4 linked regions of the Schizosaccharomyces pombe genome follow. The protein of the gene in region 1 interacts with the protein of each later gene in a pairwise test. Each region holds a gene or a part of one and is shown in the gene's direction. Other genes may lie near its edges.

Region 1 (6,596 bases):
CAGCCTAAAAGATGATACACTGGGAATTGGAGCCAAAGCAACTAACGATCTTGAATGGAGCGGTTTAGGTGAATTCAACGCTATTTTTGGTCGACTTAACGGCGATGAGTCTGCGTATGGTGTCTATGCTGAGAAAGCAAAGGTGCAGCAACTAACATACGAGAGACAGAGTGCGAATGAGAAGGGTTTAAAATCACTTGAGCTATCCAGACGATTTGTTTTGGGTGGGACGTTTACTAGTGAATTTTCTGAATGGATGCAAAAAGCAGAGGAGGATGAGGATCGTGTATGTGAAGATGCGTCTTCATCCGATGAAGCTAAGCGTGAAAAAAGAAAGAAGCACTCTTCTAAGAAGAAAAGTAAGAAAAAGACCTCTACTGGTTCGGCTCTTGATCCTAAAAAGTTGGAAAAAATAACGAAGAAGAAGAAAAAAGAGCACAAGAAAAAGGATAAGGAAAGTTCTTCAAAAAAGAGAAAATCAGGCTCAAGCGACAAAGAAGAGAAAAAGAAAAAGAAAATAAAATTAAAGGATAAACCAGAGTCCACTTCCTCTGTCGAGAAGGTCAAAGAAGGCAACCGACCCGCTAGCATTCATTTCCATACCAGAAGAAAATTTTTGGCACAAAAGCGAGCAGCAGTAAGCGACCCAGTTGCTTTAAGGGAGATTTTAGGTATTAAAGGTTAGGAAGTGACTTCTTTTGCTATTTTTCTAACTTGCGGAATATAATAAACGAGTCTTAGAAGTTATGGGTATACAATACTTTAAGAGGAAGGGTTTGTCGGTTTTTTAATCTATGTCTTAATAGAAGGTAATATTTAGTTGATTTTGGAAGAAATTGCTGGATTCGGGCTTGTAATTTCGAAAAGCTACTTATGTCGTATTGTAATCAGCTATTGAGAGTAATCGCGTTCGTATTTTATGACTCTGGTTTGTGTAATACGGGATTTTAGGTAAAAATATTGACGACTTCATCCTGAAAGTTTTACATTACTAAACATTCATTAAAGTTACGATAATCATTTACACACATACCAATCGAAGTATCTCATATGCCATACAAAGAATTAGTTAAAAATAACATTTCTATTAAGCTATGGAGATCGGAAGGCTATTCCTCCATCACTAAAACTCTGGTTATATTCACATGCATTAAATTGCACGTTTCCATACAAAAGGAAGTCTAAAAAGAAAACTACTCGAGCTAGTACAACCACCAATTTAAAAGTAGATCTCCTGCTAGAGAAAGTTAGTATAGTTCAGTAAAAATAGAATAGTATGTGAATACAGAAAAATCACAGTAATGCTCAGCAATATATATCTACTATCTTTTCCCGATTTTTTTTCAACATAATTAAATCTGTTGTCCCTATCAAGAAATCATCTTCGCAACTGTCTTTTTTCTTAAATTATGTATTGCACTTACACATGATTAACAATTACAATTTCAACCGCAATATTATTGCGTTGTTCTTATAAACTCATTGTTGAAGTATATGGTTAATATCAAACTGCTACGGCGCTTCAGAGAATTTATAGTGCTACTCAAAAAGAATAACTGAGTGAAGTGGGAACATCGTATTTTTAAATGTGTCTTTTAGTATTTTTCCTATTGTTTTATGTTTCTAAAACTTGCTAGATGAAAACTTCAAGCAACTAACTTCTGGCATACGTGTTTGTACCAACGAATACCTTGCCTGGTCGAAACGCACCAGCAGCCAACATTTCCAGCTGTCCTTCATTTGGAGCTTGGGAAAATGGACATCAATGATCCATCATTTTCATCGACTGAAAATGGTATTTATGAACTTCTATCACGTGGCTATGCTGCGATTGAAGCTGCAACGGAGCGTGATTTAAAATTGCCAGAGTTAGGAGACATTATTGGTCGTATGTTGAAGCAGGTTTGATCAATTCTGAAGGCTAATTATTTTTTTTTAGAAGTACACGCTCCAGAATACATATCACAAGTTCTGAGTGGTTGGAAGCCGTTTTACCTTCGTTCTGTTGTAAATATTCCTGACCGTATATTTGAACAATACAATCGTAAGTAAACGAACTTTATGCGCCTTGGTAACTTTTCTAACTTATCATCGGTTTAGGTACGGAATGTTTTACTCAAATGGGGCTTTTTGCTGAAATCCAACGTGCTTGGATAACTGTGGACAACCGTTTGTTCTTATGGGATTATCTTTCGGGTCAAAACTTTCAAGCTTACGAAGATTTATCTCATACCATTGTCAATGTAAAGTTAGTGAGACCAAAGGCCAATGTTTTCGTCTCGGAAATCCAGCATTTACTCGTAATAGCAACTTCACAAGAAATGCTCTTATTAGGTGTTACAATCGATGAGAAAACTGGTGAATTATCCTTCTTCTCAACTGGTATCCAAATATCTGTTCAAGGGATTAATGTTAATTGTATCGTTTCTTCGGAGGATGGACGTATTTTTTTTTCCGGAAACAAAGATCCCAATTTGTATGAATTTTCTTACCAACTCGAAGAAGGCTGGTTTTCTCGTAGATGCAGCAAAATTAATATTACCGGTTCTGTTTTTGATAATTTTATTCCTTCTTTCTTTTCTTTTGGTACTCATGGTGATGGCATCAAGCAGATTGCTGTTGATGACTCCCGTAGCTTGCTTTATGTTTTGCGAGAGACCTCTTCTGTTTCTTGTTATGAACTTACGAAAAACGGCGTAAATCGTTGTGTCTTTTATTCTTTCAGCTCTATGATCTCTCAAGCTCAAATGCTAAATGCAACCTCTCCCTTATTGGATCCTCGGACTACTCAAATAGTTTCCATAGTTCCTATTCCAGCATATGAATCACAGCAAATATACTGTGTCGCAATTACCTCTACAGGATGTCGGTTTTACATGAGAGGTGGCCGGGGCCCCATTTCTCACTATGCACCGTCTAATTCGACTTTGTCGTCCACACCTCCTAGTACTTTACAACTTACTTTCGTTCGTTTTCCTCCTCCTATGCAAGTGGAGAATTATGCCTCTTCCCGCAATTATCCTGCTAACCCTTTCTTCCTGCAAAATCAATCTACATCTCAACAACAACCTGAAAGGTCAAGTGCTGTAAAAACTACTCCTATGAAATGTTCTTCTCTGAGTAATATTTATACATCCGATTTGTTTTTCGCCATAAGCTCCTCCAATACGAATGAGGGCGACGTCGTCTGTTGTACTGCTCCTGAAGTTGGTAGAATTGCCAATGCTTGGCAGAGTGGTACGCAACCGTCTCTCATAGAGTCTTCCATGTACGTTCCTATTAAGGGTTTTGTACAAGATATTAAATGCATTCAAAATTCTCGAGAACGCAATGAGTTGGTTTCTCAATTTAACACACCTCCTCCTACTTTTGCCATACTTACGAATACAGGGGTTTACGTGGTAGTTCATCGTCGTCCGATCGATGTCCTCGCTTCTGCTATTCGTATGGGACCTTCCCTATCGTCCGGAATCGATGGCCAAGTTCAACTGTTTTTTGAGAGTGTTGGTCGCGCTGAAGGTTGTGCAACTTGTTTGGGTATTGTAAGTGGATGTCTTGATCAGGGGGATTTTAGTCATGCTGCAGCAAACTTCTCTGGCTCCACTACTAAACTTGCACAAGCGGATCTTTTGGACATAGTAAAGAAATATTATATTGAGTTTGGCGGTAAAGCTTTTATTGATCAATCTCGCTATAACAACCAGTATGATTCTTCTTCTTTAGAATTCGTTCGTTTGTCTGGTTGTCATGATGGTTTGGCGTCCTCCATTTCGCGTATTATTAGAAATGTTTGGAAAAATCATGTCATTATAGCTAAAAAAATGCAAAATAAACGTATCCATTACGCGCCCGCATTTAACGCTACTGAAATTTTAAAAATACAATCTGGCTTGTTATATTTATCTACGTTCCTTGAAAATAACAAAAGTTTTATTGAAGGCCTTAATAGCCCAAATACCCTCATCGGCTCATCCAATGTTGCTGATGAAATTGCTGTACAAGCTGAACATAGAGCTTTGTCTGCATTGCTCTTGGTCCTCCAACAAATTGTTGAGGGGATATCGTTTTTGTTATTCTTAAACGATACCGGTGTATCCGATTTTCATGAAATTGTTTCTTCTACCTCCATTGATATTCAAAAATCGTGTTCAAACATGACCTTTGGTGAGTTTTTTACTTCGAAACGGGGTCGAGAAGTAACTAAGGAACTCGTAAATTCTCTTGTCAATAGGCATCTGCAGTCTGGAGGGAATATTGATATGGTTAGTCAGCTTTTACGTAAAAAGTGTGGAAGTTTTTGCAGCGCTGATGATGTTTTAATTTTTAAAGCCGTGGAGTCTTTAAAAAAGGCTAAGGATACGGTCGACATTGAAGAGCGACAATCTCTTATAGAGTTATCCTACACCCTCTTTAAAAAGGCTGCACATGTCTTTACTCCCGAAGACCTTCGTTTAGCAGTTGAGGAATACAAGTCTTTGAACGCCTATACAACCGCGGTAAACTTAGCATTACACGTAGCAAGTGCGAGAGACGATCGAAATCAAGCTTTGTCTTACCTTGTCGATGGAATGCCTGAGAACGATCCTAGGCGTGAACCTTTCGAGAGCCGTACAAAGTGTTATTCGTACATTTTTGAGATTTTGGATTCTTTGGAATCTCAAATGTCAAATGATTCGAGTGCAATTAAGGTTGATGTATACGATACTATACAGCGTTCAAAGGATGAACTTTTTCATTATTGCTTTTATGATTGGTATTCATTTAAGGGGCTTACAGATCGCTTGATTGAGATAGATTCCCCTTACATACAGAGTTATCTGGAACGTAACAGCACCAAAGACATGAAAATTGCTGACTTACTATGGCAGTATTATGCTAAACGAGAACAGTATTATCAAGCTTCAATAGTCTTGTATGATTTGGCTACTACCCACCTTGCATTTAGCCTTGAACAACGCATTGAATATCTTACACGAGCCAAAGGTTTTGGTAGCTGCCACGTCCCTAATTCTCTTAGGCATAAAATGAATAAGGTTATGCTTAGTGTACTAGAGCAGCTAGACGTTGCTAGTATCCAAGATGATGTTTTAATAGCAATCCGTGGTGATATGCGTATTCCTACTTCAAAAAGAGAAGAATTGAGCAAACAATTGGATGGGGAAATTATACCCCTTAGCGATTTATTTAATAATTATGCTGATCCTCTGGGTTACGGTGAGATATGCTTGTCCATATTTCAGTGTGCTGATTACAGAGGAATTAACGAAATCTTAAACTGTTGGGAGTCTATTATTAAAACTACTCATGAGAATGCTATAATATCACCAGTTGGGTCATCCCCTGTCGAAGCAGTTTCCTCTACATTAAAAAATTTGACGCTGAGATTTTCACAATCTGAAAACGTTTTCCCTATTGAGCAAATAATTGACATTACTGAAAGATATGCGTTTGATCAACAAGGTGAAGCGGTAGCTACTGGTTGGGTTATTGATACATTCTTGGGAGCCGGCGTTTCTCATGAATTAATATTTATTGTACTAAACCAGCTCTACGATCGCAGAGAAAAGCCTTGGCAAGGAAAAGATAGGCTTTTTTTCCTAATAAAAGAAGTTACCCATCTATTAAAATTATGGCATGAAGTGAGTGTAAGAGCCGGAGTTGCTCAAACCTCCAAACCCAGTTTTGATGCTCCTCTTGTTTTGGAAGCAATAGAGAAATACAAAAATGCGCTAGGTGCACCCGATACTGCCACGAAAAGTTGCAAAGAAAATTTAATATCTTTAGATTCTGAAATTCGTCAGACATACTAGTGAAAAGATAGCTTTTTATAACAACATTTTTTAAAAAGATGGTGTTTGGTATTTAATAAATGCAATGATTATATTGGATGGATTTGAAACCTTCACATAATTGGATGTTGTTAACTATCGCTATGACTGTTACATATAAAAAAACAATTTAGAAAATACTCTTTTACAGCACTTGCAATGATAAATGTGTGATTAGAAACTAAAAAACCTAAATCCTTTTTTTTTTGTAAAATTTAACACCTGCCAAAGTTAGTAATTTAAGTGTGATAAATGACTATGAATAGCTTACATTCTATAAGAAAGGTCTTCTGAAACAGGCTCGCGATTTGGCTCACGTGGATTGAAAGTGTATGAAATATCAATATCAAGTTCGCGGTGGTTTCCTTCTGCAGGTTTGCAAGTAATTGTACCTCTAATGTATTCACCGGCCTATAGAAGTGGTGTTAGTAAATCTTGTAAAAGAGAAAAAATGTACCTTTACAGTGAGATCCTTATGAGTATAGAAAACAGTTTGTTTCCAATGAGTGTAACGGGAGAATGGGCCGGTACTAAACTTAATAGGTTTATGACAAGCGGAAAATTCGATGTCAAACCACGCAAGGAAAGCATGAACGAAATCGTTGCGAGTAGCGGTTATTTCAAAGGGAGAGGAAAATGCGAGGTCTTCTTTTTTCACAGTTTTTAAATCTAAATCAAGAATTACACAACTATTGGTATTGACGGCTATGCGATCAACCGTATCAACCAAAGGTTCTTTCCAGACATCCTTTTTTATGGGAGAAAAAT
Region 2 (2,839 bases), 3.7 Mb from region 1:
AACATCTTTCAATGAAGACTCAATTTCTTCATCGGGATTCTGTCCAAACTCTTCCAACTTCCTCCTGTCTCTTATTTTTTGTGAAACCGAGTCAATGATCAGAAGCAAATTTGACATAGTCGCTGGTTACTTTCTTGAGTAATCATGTTCATCATGCGCCTAAAAACACAAACATTAGTGAAGTTTACAGTAATACGGTGTAATGCCTTTGCTACCAATTCTAGGTTCAATTACAGTAAATTTTGTTTGCAGCAAAAAAAGAGAATCTTTTCGTATGTTTTAAATAAAAAAAAAAGTAAAAATGATTTGCTCATTAGCTGCCAGATCCATTATAGGCATCCTGTGAAATTATCGTATTATTAGAAACCTACTCGTTATTTACACAATTTTTTGAATGCTTCTTTTCGACTCTTCTGATTGTTTTCGGTATTTATCACAAATTTAGTAGTTCTTATTTCACATCTATTAAAAGGTAATCAAGCAAGGTGTAAGGAAAACTTTTTAATTATTGAAAGTTGGTTTGCGTAGTTTCAAAATTAATCAGATAAATTTATACAGCAAGCCCAGTATAAAAAGGGGCCTAACCAGGATTCGAACCAGGGATCACCTCTAAACTCAGCATACAAGTGGGGATTACCCGAAAGAGGTATGTTAACCACTACACTATTAGGCCTAGGTTTCTCATTACAAAATATTAATATAATATATATATAAAATAATTGCGACATAATAAATGTTAAGTACCTCTTTGCTCTGAAAACTAAAATACCAATAATGACGCTTTTCTTTTCATTAGAAGAGAATGTTTATTAAAGAAATATCTTAAAGAAAAATACTACTTAAATATTTATTTAGGAGTTAGTACACTAATTCCAGAGTATTAAATCCAAGTGTAACAAGGTAGGAGTAACAAATAGTTGTTTAATTACAGACAATTAAGTACAGTAGAAAATTACTCAAATATATACAAGGCTTTGGGCCGTTTAAAACGAATCATGCTGATATCTATATTCGGCTAATCGACTTCTTGCTTTATTCTCAGTTTAAAATGGAGTTTTTTTTTATAGCGTTACGAATTAGAAATAGATGTAGCCGTCTATCAAAGTTGACATTGCACGTGAAATTATCATTATAAACATAATCAAATGAATGGCAAAGCGATCAAAATAAGAAGGAATTTTACTACGTTATAAAACATTCGGCTTTTTATTTTACTTTATTCTTTTTTATTCAGGTGCATCTGATAATAATCGCGTGAAACTTGAGTGCAAAAAATTTTACAGCCCTGTAGATCCCGAGTGAGAGTAGATCACATATAGCTAAAGGAGCTCGTATGAAACTAAGATACAAATACATTTGTTTACGAACGTTTGACAAATATATAAATTGACCCACAGACCTTAAAATTGTCAACAACAGTTGTCTCAAAAAAAAGCCGGGTCGAAAGTACATTATTTACTAAATGATAGTGTTTTTAACTTCAAAAACAGTACAAAGAATGCTATAGAAAACAAAATGCATTTTCGATGAATTGAATTATTCATTTTCTGTAAACAACAAAAAGTTGGTTGAGAATTATGGAATTCGTTATTTTTATTTACCGTATTTCAATAGTTCGTAAATATGCATGACCGCATCGGTAAGCATAGGCAGGCTTAGTAACTTGCATTTCTCTTTGTCTTTAAGCAAACATCGACTAAAATACATATTGCTTGAAAAATTTAATATTGGTTGCATACACTTAATTCACAATGGATAAAACAAAAATGTTTAGTGCCATTAATTTGGGCGTAGGTGGTATCTTCGTTTTAAGCGGATTTATCAAGTTATTTTCATTTAGCTTCGTAAACGCTTTACTTGCATTGTTCATCATCGTTTTCGGTTTGGGAACTATTGGTTTAGAAAAGGAAATTCCTCCTATTGCTATTAAATATGGATCGTTCATGTTCTCATTCTTAGGAAGGGGCTTCTTCTACGCTTTCATGGGTACTTTACTCTTTTCTTACTCCGGGTTTACTTCTTTCCTAGGCTTTTTAGTTCTTCTTGCAGGTATCGCCTACTGTGGTGCAAACTACGTAGCAGGATTGCAAGACTACGCTCCCAGAAGCATGCGTGATAATGATTGGGATGATAACGTTGATGAAGTGTAGACTTTTTTTTATTTCTAACTATATTATTTGATTCGGTTCTTGTTCCTACCCCCCTCTTTTCCCGATGTCCTCCTACATATGATTTATTCTGGATACATTCGTTTTCTTCAGGGTAGGTGTTCTAAAAGACAGTCACTTTAGCAGTCATCCTCAGAGTAGTTAATGAGTATAAATATGTATACGATCTCTTAACTATGTATAATTTTTGTATATCAACATTAGCGTAGTAGCTATGGTATTTGTGATGGGTTTTAGGGTTATACATTCAAATACCTTTAATTGTCCAGCTTGGATTCTGAACTGTCGGGTGTATCGAGGAGGATAAAAATGACATGTCAAGCTCAACAATATGAAAAATTATGATTTTTTTCTATTTCTTCACTTTCTGAGATGTATCTTGCAGTTCAAAATGTTAGTTGGCTTTACTAAAATTCTATTTTATTTCATTACTCTAATCAATTATCTTTTTGCTTTATGACCATTACCGCTTATACTCTATAGATGTTTTATATTTTTTATATCTAAATAAATATCTTAATTTTTTTGAGCTGTTGGGAATAATGAATATTCTTTCTGAGTTTCTTACTTACAGGTCTTATAGACGTGTTTCCATTGTCCATACTATAAAATTGTTGACCTCTATAGTCACCGTTGCTTTTGTCACTACATTGCAAGAGCTGACGAGTCCT
Region 3 (3,643 bases), on another chromosome or scaffold:
AGAAAGGAAACCAGAAGAAAACTCTGTTTTGCGCGTCACTGTCGATGGTGGTGGATGCCATGGATATCAAGTATCTTTTCGCATGGACAACAAAATTGGAAATGCTGACACGTAAGTGATGTGGTTAAGAAGACTATAAGTTTTAATTAAGTATTTCCTGGTTATTGACTAAATATCTAGGGTATTTGTGCGTGGAAAAGCCAGGGTTGTTGCTGACAACATTTCATTACCTTTGATAAGTGGCTCTGAAATTGAGTATACAAATGAACTTATTGGTTCCTCTTTTCAACTTTTAAACAATCCACGTGCCAAGACTTCTTGTGGTTGTAATGTCAGTTTTGATGTTGAATGAGATTTATACTTAAAATAATACATTTCTCTTATAATCACTTTTCTATTTATCAAATATAGTTTAACAAAAACTCTGCTTACAATTTTTTGCTAGTATGCCAGTAAGTAAACCAAAAGATACAAATATAAAAGTGTCATCAGTCAAATCGATCGAGTTGTTGACTAATTGAAATTATTGCTCAAAAAATATAATTAAATATTAATAGTCTATTCTCCAATGATCTTTCTAACACGACGGAGGATACTGTCCTTTTCAGGATCATAAGGATCGTCTTTGCTAGGAATTTCCAATACAGCAGGGAATGCCTGCACATGGTTTTCAATACGATCACGTATTCTTTCAGCGGCAAACTGGTTAATCAATACAATCGCAATATCCTTCCTTTTCGTAGTATAATCATCAAAAGCTTCAGCAATCTGCTCATCTGTAGTCTCTACATAAAACAGCAAGTTAGCGAAAACACGATTCCATTTTTTAACAGATAATCTTACTCTGAGTAATTATAAAAAAGTTTTTGTCACCGTTTTCATTTACCTGACCAGTTCCAGCTAAAAGCATCCCAGTAACGGTATCATCGTCTCCAATTACAGAAACAAGTGTCCGTTCTCGATATGATTGTGAAGACATGATTTAGAGAGATAAGTATTTAGAAAATCTAGGTAAACGTCCAAGCAGGAAAATAGGAGAGTATGGTGCTACTTGAAAGCGCAACTTCTGGACTAGTAGGCGATTAAAAGTGTTCAGTGGTTGAATCGTAAATTTTCACAAAGCTTAGATAAATATTTAACAGAAAGCTATGGCTCTGCCTCTACAATCCTCAAATGTATTCCTGAGTTTAAGTAGTGATGGTGGATGAAAGTGTAAGGTCCAATACCGATAAGACATATCTGACACTTAACTAAGGTACCTTTTATTATGAAGACTTCTGTAATTAAGAATATGATATTATTATAATAGGAATTTGTGAAAATTCGACTCCCATAAATTGTTCAACAAATATCATTATGCAAATAAACTGATGAATGTAAAAATAATAAGATGGCCCAGATGACACAAATAGGATTATTTTAAAACTTAAATTATAATATTCAATTATTTTACTTTCAAAGGCTGCGAAGTAAGTACTTCGATATAATCCAATGCCGTAAAGCATACCAAGAAGGATATAAATATAGATGAGAAATCAGTTAATTATTATCTGTTGAGAATGAAGCTGAAAAGAATAAATTAATAATTGATAAGCATATGAGCCGTTGTTGGCTTCCAGTGTTGAGCAAATTCGAAATTTGGGTTGCTTTCCTACATGCATGTTCAAACCTACAATCAATTTGTTACATATCGAAATAGAAGCTTTAATTTGAGAAAAAAGTGTCATTTATATATTTTTTGAATCAGCTTCCATCTCAAAGTCCATACCTCATTTAACGAAACATAACGAATTTTTAAGTTGATGAAATTGATATTTGTAAAATTTAACAGTGCTAAGTTCACAACACCATTTGTCTATAGTGTGACACAGTTGTCTTTTACCACAAAGCTCTCACTGAAACAATGCTTGGGCTTGGAAGAGTATTTTCATCCGCTGTACGTCCTCGGACGCTTATTCGAGCACCCATTAATAAACGCAGTTTCCTTTGGTACTCAACTGAGGCTGCTAAGGAAGAAAAGCCTGCTGAAGAAAAAGTTGCCGAAACAGAGAATGTTGATGTTAAGGAACTTCAATCTAAGCTTTCTGAGCTTAAAAGTAAATATGAAGCAAAGGACAAAGAGGTTGCGGAGTTAAAGGGTAGCATTCGCCAAAGCTTAGCTGACTATCGTAATTTGGAAAACCGCATGAAGAGAGACATGGAGCAAACACGTGCATTTGCTGTTCAAAAGCTTACTAAGGATCTTTTGGATTCTGTCGATAATTTGGAGCGTGCTCTTTCAATTGTTCCAGAGGAGAAGCGTAACAATCGTGAGTCCAACAAGGATTTAGTTGATCTTTATGAAGGTTTAGCAATGACTGAATCGAACTTAATGAAAACCTTAGGAAAATATGGTTTAGTTCGCTATGACGGTATCGGAGAAGATTTTGATCCTAACATCCATGAAGCTGTTTTCCAAATCCCTGTTGAAGGTAAAAAGCCCAACACTGTCTTCCATTGCGAAAGCAAGGGTTTTCAATTGAATGGAAGAGTTATTCGTCCTGCCAAGGTTGGTGTTGTTAAGGGAGACGACTAGAGGAGCTAGTCAAAGATGATAGCAAGGAGCATACGAATACGTCGTTTCACCTATATTATTTTAATGACCAATTCGGGGTTTTTTTTTATTTTTAAACTCTCAATGTTTGTCTGGAAAGTCCTTTGTGGTATTATTGGATTTTTTCAGTCTTTTCAGGGGAACCAGAAGTCTTTCTGTGCAGATGCTTTTTTCTGCAAACTAATAGTCAAAGACAGATCGTAAAAAGTTTCATTGCATTTTTTGGGCTATGGGTACATTATTATATTTTTACCGAGGGGACTTGAATCCAATGTTTTTGTGTGGTTTGGGTTTATTGTTTAGTGATTTGCTATCACAACATAGTACCTATTTTTACTTACATTTATAAATAAAATTTTTACTCTTTAATACTATAGCTTTCACCCAAACTGGTTAAAGAATTTTGATATTTCCTTCTAAAGATTACTCAAAAGCATTTCTTTAAGAGTTAAAAGTGGAACCAAGTGGAAGGTATGTATTCTATCATTTAGTTTTATAGAATATTAAAGTTCCGAAAGTTGATATGTGCTTTAACGGTTAAGCCTCCTTTTCAAGTATTCGTAGAAGTTAAGCTAGTGTTCTGTATTACAAATTAGTAAGGAATTTTGACTAGTTTAGATGATTTTTTTGTTTTTTATAAAATAGATATGTAATAACAAACTTGCTAATAAAGTATTGATTGGAAGCAGCTAGCCTGTTCGAACTAAGCCATAGTATAAGACATTACTCAATCAGCCTAATCTAATAGATAGATATTCAAAGTTACAAATGATAAGCATGAGATCGTTTGTGGGTGATCCCGTTGCTTTTAACTTTATTAAGAATCTAGTCAATGAATAGTTTTTAATCCAGCACTGATATCGTCAGAATTGCATATTCGAGAGATATATTCATTTTTTCCAGCTCAGTAATTACACTATTACTAAATAAACTCACTTCTTAGCGATACACTACCGCAAGGGTTTACGTCTTTATTTAGATCAAGAAATGGTGCCTTGCATACTACTCGAACGTGGTGTAAAATTTACCCTTACACAATAAGTGTTGCTT
Region 4 (4,956 bases), on another chromosome or scaffold:
CTCGTACACCTGTTCCTGCATCGGTGAATATTCAGAAGACACTTGCTCAACACTTTTGAGATATAGTTTATCCTGTCGACGCATAACAATATCCACTAACCCCCCTAAAAACGGATTCTTTATGAGACCTTTATTTCTCCCAGACACTACTACGATACCCAAGCTTTTACCTGTTAAATTCTCGATGGATAGATTACGATCCAACTTGGATAACCAATCCTGACTCGTAACATTAATATTCACATCGCCCGTAGCCTTAGCAGGACTGTTGTACTCGGCTTTGCGAGATTGATAGCCCGGATCCGATTTAAAAAACTGCTGGATTTTCCTTGTAGTCTTTCTCAAGAAAGAGTTTTCCTGACCTTCATCATCAACTTCTCTCAAAATATCCAAACCCGATTGATTAGATATCGACATATTGTCGAATGTCGGTAAAATACTTTGAAACTTTTAAAACTTCGAGAATCGTAGAAAAGAAGAAAAAGGATACCAATATCCAGAATCTCAAAACCACAGTGCGTCCAACTTAAAAATAAAAGGTAATGAAATGAAGTAAAAAAAAAAAATTATTAAAATTTGGTTCTTTCCAAAGGGCTTTGTTTCCTGTTAAATACTAAATATGAAATCGTTTATCTTAGCTTAGCCATTTTGCCATCTTCATCATGCTTTTCCTAACAACGCTCCCCAAGCCACGTAAAACATCAACTTTCGCAACTCGTCCTATTTCAAGTTTACGAAGACATCCAATTTCCTAATCGTCTCTACCCTATAATATTTTGTATAATCATGGTCTAAGCCATTTCATCGTAGCGATGAGCCTCTCGTAAGTTAATTAATGGCGCAGCATATCAATTTTAATCAACTTGTAATAGAATAGAGATGATCATGCTGTCTATTGCTTATAGTTACAAGACTAGATTTCCTTTCTCAACATGCAATAAGGATTGAAAAGTAAAAATGAACTACTTGTATGAAATTTTCGTTTTCGTGCTTAATTCATGATTATGACCTTTTGGAGTCAGTGACATACACCGTTTCCATTGACAGACATTATTGAATTTTTTTTTTACAATGGGGCAACAGTCAATGTTGGCGCAAGCTTAAGATGCAAATGCAATCTTTCATTTAAAAGCGGCTTGTTTCATCAATACATTTGACATTTAACGATGGCTTGTAGGCATTGTTGTAGACATCCACTCAGCCTACATTTTGTCAATACTTTTCTACACAACTTCTCAAACTCGTTCCTTTGTAGCTTAAAAATTAAGCGAACTTAAAAACTATTAAACTTTTTGTTAAACGAATTATTTGCATAAAATACCAAAAAGATTTTTTGTTGACTTTCACCTAACAAATTAAGAGCGGTTGGTTTTATTAAAAAGAAAATTTATTAAGATATTTCTCATTGCATTCCACTTCAATGCGTCGTAGAGCATATCATAAGTAAGGCTCTAAAAATAAGCCACAAACACTGATCGTTCTTCTGGTACAATGGTTCAAATTTTTTTTTTCTAGGAAGCTCGAAAAAGAAAATACAAACAAAAAAAAATTAAACAGCTCATTTCTTCAAAAACTCCTTTTATCCTCAATTTGTTTGAACTTTGTTCTGACAACCCGCTACGAATTGGCTTGGGACCCTGCTGACGGTCGGCCTTTTCCCTATTCTCACCACGAGCACCGTGGGGAAACTGTATAGTCGAAATCTTCGAGTTTTCTTGCTCAACATTTCAAGAAAACTTTTATACTATTCAAGTGTATCTAATTGTTACTTCACTCGTTATTTAGTACTTCTCTTTTACTTTGTCAAGCAGCACAAGTGTTTGATAAAGGTCATTCTGTATAAGGGGTCCTCTGTACCATTACACCTTGTACCTTGATATAAAAGATATTTACATGCATTTTATTTCCGTTAACTCACAGAATATCAGTTGTTTGGTTTTCTTCTTACGTGTGCTGGTTTGACTTGTTGTTTCCCTTTTTTTTTTTAAATTTGCACACACAGGATTCTATGAGAACTTTGCATTAAATGGTATAATGGGAAATGGAATCTAGCCGATTGTTTACACTTGGATTGGGAAATTCCGATGATGGATTGAAATCCACTTTTGGTGATAAAACAGTAACTTGTTTTTATTGCAACAAGAAGAAGGAAAAAATTAGAGACGGAACGTCTACTTGGACTTGCTCAATTTGTGAAGCCACCAACCATATTGATGAGAAAGGTGATATCCTGGATTATCGACCTCCAACCCCAACTCAAGACAAGGGTGTTGGTCCTTTTTACGCGATACGGGATTTCCCAAGCAGTTCTTCCTTTCAGAGCCCCTTTTGTGAAAAATGTCAAATGAACCAACTGATTGTGAATCGGATGCTTGCTGATTATCTGCCAGACTCATCACATCCAGATTATCAGGCTTATGAGAAGGCATTACCAGAGTATAAAAAATCTATAGAAGAGAAATTTCCCATTGTTTGCTCTGAATGCTATGACTCCGTTCAAGACCAACTTGATGCCAATGATTATGAAGCCAAAAATCAGGTTTTAGGATATTGGCTGCAAAAGTCAAAGGAACAGCTAAACGCAAAAGTCCCCCATCACTATCCAAAAGCTTCTTTTGTTCTTTGGTTACTTCGTGGATTTGGTTTTTCGTTTTTCTATTTGCAATCGATTGTGTGGCATTTGTATCATTCTATGATAATAAGCTTATTACCAGATGGTATTCGTAATTTATTTCTAAAAGCAATCTCTTACTTCCTATTAGATGGATCCTCTAGCAAAATTTTTTACTTTAATTGGCTTGGTTTTTTCGTTGTCTTTTGGAACCCGTATTGGTACAAAATGATGGACAATCCATCTTGGGAGCTTTTTGGGCGGGATCAGTATATCCAATGTCAGGCACTTTATCTTATTATCCGTTTAACTTGCTTGTATCTCCTTTCATGTTATGAGTCGGAAATTTTGAACTTAAGCTCGGATACCAATCTTGAAAGTGATTTTTTACTCCGTCAAATACATGCAGCCTTTTTCTTTGTTACCATTTGTTTTACATGGATTAGCATCTCATGTTTAAAGCCAAGTCCTCCTCCAGAAGTTCATTTGACTGGCGAAATTTTGAAACCACGCAAGAAGCGTCAGGAAAGTACATCTTCTGTGCATCGGATAGGAAAGGAATCGAGTGACAGAAAAGATGGAATTAGTGGGCAGAATAAATTGCAGCAATTTGCGACAATTTCAATTCTGAATAATACCAACGCAACGTCTCATTTGGGAAATCAGTCTGTTCGTGAGAGAGCTCCGGAGGAATCCCCTATGACTTTTCTTCAAAAAAAAATGGCCGCCCTTCCAACATCTAGTCCTGTTCGACCGATGCTTAAACCTACTCTTCAGCTTCAAAATTCTCCTTTATCGAAACTGGTTCCTCAAGAAGTGGGCAACAAAGTAAACGATTCTATTCATACGACGTCTAATCAGCCAAGTAAATTTTCCCTGAACCCTTCCATATCTCTAAAAGGTGATAACGTGATAGAGAAGAATTTACCTTTTTCCGTGTCTACTTTAAAGTCCACTGCAAAGAAAGATACTGGTAAAGCAGGGGATGGTCAAAATCGCGAAATTCAAAATGAGCCAGTGAGCCTTGAAAGTCATTTTAGTAAGTCTTTAGCCCTTCAGAACGATCCAACAGAAGTTATTCAGGTGAAAAACGTTCTTCACCGGAATCGTCGAAATGCAAAGCTTCTCATTGCTTTCACAATTTTGTTCCTCGTTGGGTTAATTTGCGGATGGCGTTTGAATCGTTTTACTATGTTCATTTACTATTTATGCATATTGGTGTTAGCCACATATTATGTTATGAAACACAACTTTTATCCTTTAAGAAAGGTGGCTTGATCTGGTTACTATTTAAAGAAGTGGATGCAAAGTAATATGGAATATATTCTTTTGCAAACCAATCATTCATTAATTTATCCAATTTTGGAATAAATTTCGTTACTAATATTGCCAGAGGCGGTTATGTCGCTATCATTTGTTTAAAGTTTTTCAGCTCCTTTCTGGCAACTCGACATATTCGAGCTAGCGCATTCGCACAAATGGGATCCAATATAAATTTACTTTTTTTTTCCTATTAAAGCTATATAATTAAGTATTTTTCATACTAACGAGTTTTATTTGATAAATTTCATTCGTTTCAATAGGTTAGTACTGAAAGAGAACATGTAACCTGAGCAAACTTCTGGTTCATACGAATACTAGCAATGGTGCATTCCCGAATATATGTTAGACACGTCGTTAAATTAGTTTAGGTTATAAAATCGTTAGAGTTAAACAATAACTTAAGAGAAATGAGCCGAGAATACTAGGATATTCAGATTTTCATTACTTTCTAATTCCGCTCAGGATTCTATGTGCAGGTAACATCAGGTGACCGAAGGATTCATTGGCATACTATAGGGCCATGAGATCTTACCTTCTTCCAATATTCAAAACTAAGAGTTTTATTGATTTCAGTGCAAATTTTGTAGTGACGAAATTTTTTTTTGCTGAAGTGATTGTTTAAGTATGAAACCTGTGTCTCTTGCCAAGTATATTCAAAAATCACCATTTTTGACGAAATTGCTTTTACCCATCTCCAATGCCTATGTGCATTTGTCAGGATACCGTAAATATGGTCTTCGATACGACGATTTGATGTTGGAGGAGAATGACGATACTCAAAAGGCGTTATCTCGTTTGCCTAAGATGGAATCCTACGATCGAGTCTATCGTATTCGCCGTGCCATGCAACTTAGCATTGAGAATAAAATTTTGCCAAAATCTGAATGGACAAAGCCTGAGGAGGATTACCATTACCTCAGACCTGTTTTAGCTGAGGTTATCGCGGAGAGGAAAGAGCGTGAGGCCTTCGACGCTCTCATTGTTAAGAAACCCGAGACTCAAGCCCATGCAACATCTTCTCC

What was found.
Region 2: the proteins of nup155 (region 1) and tvp15 interact in a two-hybrid assay, tested with the Schizosaccharomyces pombe proteins (one large-scale study listed by BioGRID).
Region 3: the proteins of nup155 (region 1) and mge1 interact in a two-hybrid assay, tested with the Schizosaccharomyces pombe proteins (one large-scale study listed by BioGRID).
Region 4: the proteins of nup155 (region 1) and ima1 interact in a two-hybrid assay, tested with the Schizosaccharomyces pombe proteins (one large-scale study listed by BioGRID).

What each region holds. Positions count from the first base shown.
Region 1 is NC_003424.3:5,009,977-5,016,572, forward strand, and holds nup155 (nucleoporin, WD repeat Nup155), read left to right. Parts: upstream 1-1,711; 5' UTR 1,712-1,755; coding exon 1,756-1,888; exon of another isoform or gene 1,889-1,939; coding exon 1,940-2,044; exon of another isoform or gene 2,045-2,100; coding exon 2,101-5,810; 3' UTR 5,811-6,043; coding exon of another isoform or gene 6,044-6,050; 3' UTR 6,051-6,090; downstream 6,091-6,596. Other genes in the region: pxr1 (PINX1 family ribosome biogenesis protein), read left to right, coding at 1-685; protein arginine N-methyltransferase Rmt1, read right to left, coding at 6,044-6,050, 6,100-6,239, 6,286-6,596.
Region 2 is NC_003424.3:1,314,348-1,317,186, forward strand, and holds tvp15 (COPI-coated vesicle-associated protein), read left to right. Parts: upstream 1-1,677; 5' UTR 1,678-1,751; coding exon 1,752-2,150; 3' UTR 2,151-2,296; downstream 2,297-2,839. Other genes in the region: fsv1 (SNARE Stx8), read right to left, coding at 1-117; tnr3 (thiamine diphosphokinase Tnr3/ Nudix hydrolase fusion protein), read right to left, coding at 2,746-2,839. UniProt on the Schizosaccharomyces pombe protein: Golgi membrane protein involved in vesicular trafficking.
Region 3 is NC_003423.3:4,020,644-4,024,286, forward strand, and holds mge1 (GrpE domain-containing chaperone mge1), read left to right. Parts: upstream 1-1,873; 5' UTR 1,874-1,903; coding exon 1,904-2,575; 3' UTR 2,576-3,129; downstream 3,130-3,643. Other genes in the region: Fe-sulfur protein Isa2, read left to right, coding at 1-111, 181-352; vma7 (V-type ATPase V1 subunit F), read right to left, coding at 559-785, 844-979. UniProt on the Schizosaccharomyces pombe protein: Essential component of the PAM complex, a complex required for the translocation of transit peptide-containing proteins from the inner membrane into the mitochondrial matrix in an ATP-dependent manner.
Region 4 is NC_003421.2:1,887,558-1,892,513, reverse strand, and holds ima1 (inner nuclear membrane protein Ima1), read left to right. Parts: upstream 1-1,649; 5' UTR 1,650-2,041; coding exon 2,042-3,889; 3' UTR 3,890-4,411; downstream 4,412-4,956. Other genes in the region: SPOM_SPCC737.04 (uncharacterized protein), read right to left, coding at 1-417; qcr7 (ubiquinol-cytochrome-c reductase complex subunit 6), read left to right, coding at 4,559-4,956. UniProt on the Schizosaccharomyces pombe protein: Inner nuclear membrane protein that specifically binds to heterochromatic regions and promotes the tethering of centromeric DNA to the SUN-KASH complex.